Regions from separate parts of the Mus musculus genome. Here region 1 is reported to be linked to region 2. Evidence: microRNA targets listed by miRTarBase, many of them from high-throughput screens and not tested one by one. Region 2 holds a microRNA gene; the other region holds the end of a gene's coding sequence.
Evidence for each region. Region 2 holds the annotated microRNA mmu-miR-1905 (CACCAGUCCCACCACGCGGUAG, at 3,588-3,609, shown strand). A microRNA usually pairs through its seed, bases 2 to 8, with sites in the 3' UTR of a target mRNA and lowers its output. Matches are read on the target gene's strand: a 7mer-m8 pairs with bases 2 to 8, a 7mer-A1 pairs with bases 2 to 7 and ends in A, and an 8mer does both.

Region 1: the mRNA of Gfpt1 is a reported target of mmu-miR-1905. Seed matches in the 3' UTR shown: 7mer-A1 at 3,562-3,568.

Annotation. Positions count from the first base shown.
Region 1 is chr6:87,087,851-87,092,924 of GRCm38, forward strand. It overlaps Gfpt1 (glutamine fructose-6-phosphate transaminase 1), which reads left to right. Exons shown (of 19, transcript NM_013528.3): 19 at 264-4,357. The coding sequence ends at 308. Among named protein-coding and RNA genes, the nearest start is that of D6Ertd527e, 14 kb to the right of the region's middle.
Region 2 is chr3:88,534,846-88,539,919 of GRCm38, reverse strand. Mir1905 (microRNA 1905) reads left to right here and starts at 3,538; the gene lies at 3,538-3,619. Mex3a (mex3 RNA binding family member A) reads right to left here. Exons shown (of 2, transcript NM_001029890.3): 2 at 1-3,847. The coding sequence ends at 2,739.

The sequences.
Region 1 (5,074 bases), not on the chromosome of region 2:
TGGGTGGTGATTGGCATTTTTGGGTGGGACAAGTTATTGTTTGGACCCCTCCCACAGTGAGGGCTGCGGCATTCTTAATCCTCTGGGTGTCATGGGAACCAAGATACCCGGTAGTTTTTCCAGGGTTCCCTATGAGGGCCATCTTCCTAGGGGACCAAGGTAGCTCTCCTATGTATGTCAGCGCCTTTCCTTTATTGTTTTTCAGTTATTTTCTAGGCTAAATTACATGATTATATTTGCTAATACAATTCTCTTTTCTGCAGGTTGATTTTCCACGGAATCTTGCCAAATCTGTAACAGTAGAGTAACAGACACCTGAAACTTAAGACAGTTAAGCAACACGAGATACCTTTTGTATTTAAATTTTTGATTTAAACTATTGCCTCCTGAAAGCCTTTTTTTAGTAAATCTTATTTATATATCAGTTATAATTATTCCACTCAACTAATGATTTTTGTGCAATTGTCTCATTTTCAATAATACATGGGGGAATTTGATTCATAGAATTTAAGTCTAAACCTAAAATCAGAGAGATCTCAGCTGTATTTTGTTCAGAGAACTGGATAATGGATTTCTGGGCCCTCCATTTCATAGAGGAGGCTTGGTGAGTGTCAAGGCGCTTGGTGTTTGCTTCAGCATAACGTGATTCGGTCAGTCAGACTGAGGGAAGACCAGTGCATTGAATTGGATACTCCAAGTCAGTGTGTGCCAGTGCCTGGACAGCCACCAAAGGCTTTGCTGCGCTACTTATAAATAGAAGATGCTGCAGTTTATGTTGAAGCTTATTTCTGTTTTGTTTTTAAATCAAACTGTACACCAAAAAACTTGGTGAGATTTTTATCTTAGTTTAGTTAAATTAGTTCAAACATGTCTGTCATCTCTGTAGACAGTGCGTTTGGGTCCTCCACACCTGCAGAGAAGACCTTGTGGAGTTTGGAAAACTTGTGCTGTTAGACATTGATATGTGGCTGGACATTTGAAGATAGGACACAGGGATCCACTCCTTATTTCTTCATCTCTTAAGAGTAGTTGGCATTTTCTCGCAACTGTAGAGCTTAACTGAAAAGCAAGTACTGTTTGTTGAGTGACGTACTTTGTAGCTGCCTTTGGCATCATAGCACAGAGTTGCTGTCAAGCCTCAAATTGGTGTCAGGGTGCTCAATTCTCTCTTCAGCTTTGTCCCAAGAAGAGTTTCCTGCAGTTACCTTTACTTCCTCCCCTGCCTTGTTGCAGAAAGCATCCCTTGGTGCCAGTGTAGAAGTTCTGCTTGGGGGGTGGCAGGCCTTGCTGCTCATTTGACCCTCAGTGTATGTGGCAGGCTCAGCTGAGAACGGCACATACTTGGCACTGTGGAGTGACGTCAGTTTCAGGGTTGTTTTCTCGATGTTTTCCTTGGGACTGTTTTGACTCCTGTTGAGGAGTGAATGCAGTATAAATACGTGAGACTGTCATGCCTTCAGCTGATTGTGTCAGAAATGCAGGTCAGCAAGTTGGATAAAATATTTAAAATAGAACATTAGTTTGACACCCCAAAAATGTGCAGAGTAATTTCTTCACAGAGCTATTTGGGTCAGATTGTGTGGGCAGTGGGCAGGTGTGTGTGTTCAAGTTAGGTCCATTGTTTTCAAAAGCTTTCACCTGTACACGGTGAAAGCGCAGTGCTTCACGGAGTCATGCTTTGTGTTTGAACTTAGTGGTAAGCAGTTAACACTTGTGAAGGTGAGTTGAAGAAAAAGTTGATGTCACTTTAGGCATTTCAGAAGGCTTCATTCACACTGATGGAGGCTGGAAACCTGATTTTGATAACCCAAGACAGGGCCACAGTTTGTACTCCATGTCACTGCTTTGGGTACGTTTCTCTGTTGTATTTGTCCCTAAGACTTCATGTTAGTGGAGCATGTGTGTAAGGTCATTTCTTAGGCCTGATGTGGTAGCACAGCTGCTCGTGTTTGGGTGTGGCTTTTGTTTGGTGTGTGGCTCTGGAGCACAGGGTGATGTTGGTGTGTTGAGACACTGAAACTGGGAGACGATCAGCTCAGTGCTGTCTGGTCACTCACTGTCAGCTCAGTCACTACCCCGGGGTCCTGTTGGAGCAGTTTTGGATTATACAGCTCAGTCTTGCTAACCACCCTCCGTGCAGCGGAACGTCACAACTCTTTTTGTCTTCTGTCTATGATATTGAACCCATTTACCAGTTTCTCATCCATACACACTCCAAGCTAGAATAAATACTAAACCAGTCAGAAACCCAGATGAGGACCAGGGTAGTACTGTCTAAACAAATATTATTGTTTTCCATATCCCATTTTGCTTTCTACCTAAATTCTTTTATTAGTTCTTAATACCCAGATATTTTAGCAAGGCAAGGCACTAGGTGAGTAGGTCCCACTAATTTGGTATAATACAGGACATAGAAATCTAATTTTTCAAAACAAAAATACCCTGTAAAAGGGAGGCTTTCTATTAAAATTCTCCCCCCCCCCTACCCCCAGCTCCCTGTTTTTCAAGACAGGGTTTCTCTGTGCAGTCCTGGCTGAACTGGAACTCACTCTGTAGATTAGGCTGGCCTCGAACTCACAGAGATCTCCCTACCTCTGCCTCCAGAGTGCTGTCATTAAATTCTAATCTATCTATCTATCTTTCTTTCTTTCTAAAAAGTAATTATTTTATTTGTTTACATTTCAAATGTCCTCCTTCCTGGTTTCCCCTCCATGAACCTCCCACCCCATCCCCCTCCTTTTTGCCTCTAAGAGGGTGCTCCCCACCCCCTCCGCACCCCCTAGCATCTCCCTTCTCTGGGGCATCAGGCCGCCACAGGACCGAGCACATTTATAGTGTGTTTAAGTTCACACACACATCTTTACCTGGGAGTCCTTGCTAGGCAGGGAGGACTGAGGCACCTGACACATGGCCCACTTGATGGTTACTACTTTCTAAAAAAGAGAATCTATGCCGTAAGATAGAAAGGTTAGAAGGTGAGCCACTCACTCTTAGCCTGTGACTGGCTCGGCGGCTGTGTATGAGCGGCTGCCATGCTGGGCAGCAGAGCTAGACCCTCAGAGCAATTGTGACTGTCCCTGGTGGACCTGGTCCTTGTGAGGCTCAGGAGGGAGGGTGGAAAGGTGGAGCTGTGCTGAGGTATTAAATGCTGGGCCTGGGTTCGTTTGACATGTTCATAAGCAGCTGCCCCGGCCTGTCCGTGGAACAGGGGACTATAAAGAACAGCAGTTAGTAATATGGCAAGCAGTTGTGTGTCCCTGCTCAGCAGAGTGATGTCACAGGGTACTGTGCAGAAGGCTGTTAGTTCAGAACACCAACATCAGCTTTTTAATAGCAGGCTGTTTCTGAAGTGACAGGTGGTAACCCTTTCAGTCCAGGCCTCTTGCCTCAGTGGTTCTGAAGGTGGGAGGAAAGGAGGCTGGACTTGGTCCCATGTAGAGGGAAACTAACACTTTCACAACACACCTTCAGTCTTTGGGGTTACTCTTTTATCTTTTTTTATAATTAGGATATTCTAGAGCAATAAAAGAGACTAAGGTTACCTGTTTATTATATACATTAACTGGTATGAGTTTTCTAAAAAAAAATAATAAAGCACAATGTCATTGGAAAATGTTTGTTTAAAAAAAGAATTCATAATTTACAACTTGGGAAGGCCAAAGACATGGAAGGGAAAGGTAAAGACATTTTGATTTATGACATCCACATTTTGATTTATGACAACCCATAGTGGGTTGTGTGTACAGTAATACTACGCAGGGTTTTAAGCTTGGAGACATTTCACATGGCTTTTATTTAGTTTCACATTCAAAAGTTTTAACATAAATTGGACTTTTTCACTGTACTTAAAGATTGTTAATAAGTATTTCAGTATCTTCATAGCTAGAATTTATTTAAACATATCCTCAGATCTGGGATGATAACAGATAATAAAACTGACAGCATTGGCTTTGAATAGTAATGTCCATAGTTTTAAGCAAGACTGCTAAGTTGTGTTGTGTTGACTGTAAGTCCGTACGCTCAGTAGTGATGTTCTGAAGGCTGATGATGGCATCAGAGGAAACGTCACCTTATCTTGTTTCTGCACTAGTTTCCAGAGAGTGTAGAAATGGTCTTGCTAATTTTTGAATGTTCTTTGGTTGAATGTGTTTTTCCATTAATAACATTTTTATATTTGTTTAAATTATACTTCTGTGGGACTGGGGGTTAGAATAATCATTGCTCTGTTTTGATTTTGTATTCTTTTAAATGAATGTTTAGTTTTCTGAGCCAGATGGTTATTTCATCCTTGTGTCCTGTTCAATCCAGTGACTACACCGGAACTGTGAATAAATTACCCAAAACCTTGCTGTGTGACTTTTTCTTTTTTTGGTTGGGCTTGGGACAGCACCCCGGGCCTTACACATTAGGTCACAATCGTAGCAGTTCATTTTGAAGGATTTACTAGCGTTTGAAACACACATGTGCATGTAGCATTTTAAAGTTGGTGCTGGCTAAAGAATAGAGTCAGTGTTTTGCTTTCATTGTTGGTAAACATTGCCGGCTTCTCAGCCCTGTTGCTTTAAAGAATGAATGGTTGTGCGCATATCCAGAGCCAGTACCCCAGCTTCCTAGCAGTTTTACGAAGAATCATTAGATAAAACTCTGATGTTATGTATGCTACACTAAGCTCCGATGTCACTTGTTCTGCACTTTCTCATAGCACTTTACATTAAAAATGATTTGTTATCAGGTTTCTGGAAGGGTGACCAGAAAGCTGAAAGTGCATTGATAGCTAGGAGAAAGGGGAGTGTGAGTGGGTTGAGGGTGCGGTCAAGCTGGCCTGGCACGTGGCCTGTCGTAGATAGGATGTCCTTTAGAGCTAGAAGCAGCAGCTCCACCTGATGTGTCCATGCTGGCTGGCAGGAGGCTGCAGCTTGGCTGCTCTCGCCTCAGCTTTTCCTCCTGTGCTCTGTGCTATAAGGATCATGCAGCCCCCCCCCCCCACCCCACCACCATGGTTTTGATATAAAGCAATTTAAATTTGCCTCAGTTGCCTGTTGGTTTTGCTGAGTGTTTACAAGAGCCAGAAAGT
Region 2 (5,074 bases):
GTATCGTCTACTAAGTAACTAGTAATTCTTTTTCTTTCTCTAGGATTATATGAAATAAATTTGAATTATTTTGTAGTATTCTCTTCTTTTAAACCCCTCGGTTTTTCTTTCTCATTTTTTTTTTTAATTTTTTGGTTAAAAAAAATCTATTTCTCTTAAATCTCACACCTCTGAGGGTTTCAGTCGGCCAACTAGGCCTCAGTTCTGGTTTTCCCTCCTGACTGCCCCTGGCACAGGGTAGGGGAAGGAGGGACACTCCAGGACCCTCAGTCCTTAGTCCCAAAGCTGCTTCCTTTCTGGTTAATCCCTTCCTTTGTTTGGCTCTGCCGGCTCCCCTGAGGGGGAGGGGGAGGGGAGCCCACAGAATGAAATCCAATCTACTGGTGGGGGCCCCAGAAGGGACCAACTCCCTATCCCCTCTCCACCATCCACCCCAGGATGCTCCCCCAAGAAAAGCAAATGACATTTCTCCCCAAAAAGAAGTGGGGGAAAAAAAAGAACATAAACCCGAACATATATTAAAAACTTTTTTTAAGATTTAACTCTGAATACAAATGTATTTTTTTTCTTCTCTCCCTACATATATTCTAAACCTTCTAAAGTTTTTTTTTTTAAGGATCACTTTATCATAAAATAAAATATCCTTTTCATATAATAAATTACCTAATAAAAAGTCTTTTTTTCATATTAGCCCAGGTTCTTTGCTACATTTATACGGTAATAAATGCCTTTATTAAAATAGAATATTAAATTATAAAGAACTGCTTTTTTTTCTTTTTTTGCTATTTTTGTTTCCTCTCCTCTGTTGGTCGCCCATCTCACTCCCCCATTGCTTTGTTTTGCTGCTCGCTCACTTTTGCGCTTGTTTCTAGGAAAGGCTCACTCAGCAAGGGTGGGATTGGATCTGTGGAGCCCCTAGTGTAACAGTCTTTTGCCTTTGTGGGTAAGGAGTGGAGAGGGGGAGGGGACTGACAGACAGACATCCCTTCTTCCCACCCCCCTCCCATCCCCTGCCCCTGGGCAACCCAGGGTGCCCATTTGGTTTGGTTTCTATTGTACAGACATCTCAAGATGGCTCACATTGATGGAAAGGAGGGAAGCTGCCACAGGCCAGTTTTCTGGGCTGTGACCTCCTTCCTCTCCCCTCCCAGGCTGGTGGTCTGGAGGGGAAGGCTGAGGAGAGGCAAGTTAATTCACAAGAGGCAGGAGAGAGAGAGACCTCCCTCTGCCCTCATCCCACATCCTTTCCCCATCCAGGAAGAGTGGGACTCCTGAGCTAGAGCTCAGAATATCCCACCCAATTATATACAAGCATCTCCTGGGCCTCCTGGTCACCCATCCTCTCCTGGCCCGACCAGCGGAACCCGGGAGAGTAGGAGGCTGCTGACAGACACAAGTGAGCAAGAGGAGTAGTGAAGGGGTGCTAGACCTATCACAATACCTGATTCCTGTAACAGGCTCCACCGCACCCCAATCCTGCTTTGCCCTGGCCTGACCCCTCACCAAAGATCTGGCCTCTCTCCTCAGCCAGTGGGTAAGACAGAGAATTCATGATTTGTGGCTAATAAGGACTCAATAATGGTTCAGCTAGGTGCAGAGAGAGGTCGGGGGTAGGCCACTGCAGGTGAGGGGGAGGGGAGCCCGTCCAGACACATCTCTCTTGCCCCAGGACTTTTCCTACTTTTGGCTTTCCCTTGCCTTGGGCAGAAGACCCAGGATAAGATGCTCCCTAAGTATAATGCCCATAGATGATAAAGGCAGGGTTCCAACCTTTCATGTACCCCATTACTAGTTTCCCGTCTCAAACTGATTCTTTGGAGGAGTGGGGGAAAAGGGCTGTCCTCTACATGAAGAGGAACTGGAGGTGGGGGCTATCAAAACACTCTCCAGACTTCTCTCCCAAGAAAATGATATCCCCAAAGCTGGGCTAGAAGAGGTAAGAGGATGGAAAGAAACATGTGGCTGGGGGCTGAGGGAGAGGGGGACAGAATAGGGAAAACAACAACAACAACAACAGAAACCAAAGGGCAGATCCAGAAACAAACAAACAAAAAAAAATTGGGGGAAAAGCCAAGCAAACAATTGAAGGGGGAAGAGAAGCCCCTTTCCAGATCTCTAGCCCAGCTTTGTAAGATGGGTAAGTTGTGAGCCCTTTATCGACATCCTCCATCACCCTGGAAGATCTATGCAGATCTTTAATAGGCCCCCATCTCCCTATACTGTTGGGAACTCAGGATATGAGTGAGTGAGTGAGTGTGTGTGTGTGTGTGTGTGTGTGTGTGTGTGTGGGCTAAAGGGTCATGTTAGGAGATGGGAGGTCAGGACCAGAGGGCTAGCGAATCAGGAAGAGCACCTCTAACTACAGATGGCAAGTCTCCCTGTTCTTACCCCTCCAGAGAAGGGGCAAAATGACATGTGGATAGGGAGAAGGGAAAGGTCAGGATGTGTGTCCTGGTGGCCACTTCTGGCTAAACAAAAGCTTCTCTTAGCTGCTTCCAGATTTAAGGGTGTGTTGAGGTATCAGAGTTGTAACTCTAGTAAAACTTATGGCCCCTCCCAAAGGGTAACCAGAGGCTCTGAAAATGGCCCCGCCCCCAGCCACTCAGGCCTCCTTGTCCCCACCCCAGCGAGTGAATATTTCCAAGCACCTTGCCCTGTAGTCACTGATTTTTCAAAAAGCCCTACAGGTCCAGGGCAGCACCCGAGGGAGCGGGCCCAGGAGACCAGGGACATGGAGCTTAGGAAAATATTCGGATGGCTTGTGTGGCGGTGATGTGGCAGACAGGACACTCTGGGTCCGTCCTCTCGCAGATGCGTACTGCACACTCCATGCAGAAAAGGTTGTGTCCACAGGGCACCAGGGCTGCTGTCACTTCACTCTCAAAGCACACCATGCAGTCCCGCCCGCTGCCGGGGCTCCGCAGCCCGCCTGTCCCCAGTTTAGAGAAACCCTGCAGTGGCTCTCCGGGTGGCCTCCGAGGGAGCCCGGTCAGCTGCTCTGGCCCCGCAGAGGTGGCAGGAGAGCGATGCGCGCCTGGGGGGCCCGCGCGTGCCTTGGCTGAAGAGGAGGAGGAGGAGGCAGAGGAGAAGAGCACCGAGGTGGGCGTGGCATTCTCCTGACCCGCCCACAGCGGGGGGCTTGTCTCTGCCACGCCATAGTACACGTCCTGCTTGCCCACACCGTAGCCCGGAAACAGATATCCGCTGTAGCCAAAGTCCCCGCCCTGCTCGCTTAGGCGCGGGGCCTCAAAGGCCGAGTCCACGCCGCATTCGCCTATGCAGCCCAGGCTGTTCTGCCTGAAGGTGGAGAGCGGCTTACAGCCTGGAGCATGCACCCGCCAGGCGTCTGAGTAGCGGCTGTCCAAGGCAGCGTCAGGGCTGCCAGCCAGGAAGTCGCCGTCGCTGTTGTATTCAAGAATCTTGCCGGTGCGCACAGCGATGTGCGTCTCGATCTCCTCCCGCGCACGCTCCACGTTGCCCGGTGCGCCGGTTATCTCAAACACGGGGTCGCGGTCCCGGCTGGGAGTGATGATGTACGTGTTGGTCTGCTGCTGGATGCGTTTGATGGTCGCTCCCTTGGGGCCCACCACCAGTCCCACCACGCGGTAGGGTACTCGTACACGGATGGTCACTTGGCCTGGCAGAGCAGGGGCCACGCCAAAGGCGGCGCCAGACTTGTTGCGTGAGGCTCTTATCATGGAGAAGTGCTCAGCTGCAGAGATGATCTCCCGCCGGGCTGTGGCCACGTCTTCCCGCCTCCCAGTCACCATGAACACTGGCTCCTCACCTCGCACAGGTGTCTTGATGTAGGTGTTGGTTTTGGCCCTCAGAGCCTTAATCTTGCAGCCTGGACAGAGTGGGGAAAAATTTTACAGGACAAAGGAGTTTGTACCTTCCCCCAGAATCCCAGCTTCCCGAAAATCCTTCAGTTGATCCAGTGACACCTTCAAGACCACAAATACAACCTACCCCCCAATTTGACCAATTGAATGCACTAGTTTGTCCTGTGTTCCATTTGGGGCCTTCCAGATACACTCCTCTGAGACCCCCCTCCTTCAGAGCCTTTGAGAGAAGAAGCGGCTAACTCAAAACCTCACAAACTCTTCCCTTAGCACCTGCCGGCACGTCCACTCCCTCCATCTCACCTTCCTCTCAGTGACTGCTCATGGTCTTTGCTCAAAGCTCCAATGCACTCATTAACCCAGTCTACTCATGTGACTTCCATTCATTAAAAGAGTCTGTCCTCTAGCTCACCCAGGGACATTGGCTACTGTGTGCTGCGACCTCCCCAGGCCCTCCTAGCATCCCTAGAAGTAGAGACCAAAATCAGAGAAACACTAAACCAGGGGCAGCAGGAGGGAGGTGGGGAGACCACATAATCTCTGTGCTTCTCCACACCATAAAGCATTAGCAGCCCCTGATTCAGTGTGGGGGGTGGGGGTGGGGCTCAAGGGGTCAGAATCTCAGGGAGAAGTAGGAAGACAGTATCATCCAGAGGACCTAAGGCCTGTCCTCTTGTCCTCTTGTCCTCTTGTCCTCCCTGCCTGACGCCCAGGGCAGGACTGAGATGTCCTGGAGGTTGAGGAGAGGGGAACTGAGCATTTCTGGACCCCAGCTCCTGCTTTGAAGGAGGATCAGGTTAGAGCTGGGAGGCTGGGAGAGGCAGGAAGAGAAAGAAAAGCGAGACAAAGAGAAGAGGAGGGGGAAAGCAGGAATGCCCGTCAGAAAAGTCTGCAGACCTCAGGCTGGGTGGACTTGCCTGGCTTTACAGAGCCTCTGTGTCTTAGCCCTCCTTCAGAGTTCAGGGGCCTTGGGGCCTAAGGCAATGAGAGTGCCTTCATCCAAGCAATACTGTAGGGTGGAGCAGAACACCTCTTCACATGTCCACAGGCTCTCTCCATCTCACTTTAGCCCAGCGCACAGACTGTACATTAGTACACACCCACACCTTTGCCCCACTCTCACAGGCAGAATCCCTGAGTTCCTCAGGCACATCTCAGTGCTGCGTGCCCTTCCTCATGTACCCATCCAAAGCCATAAGGCTGCTCCTGTAACTGCCCCAATTGCAGGCCTC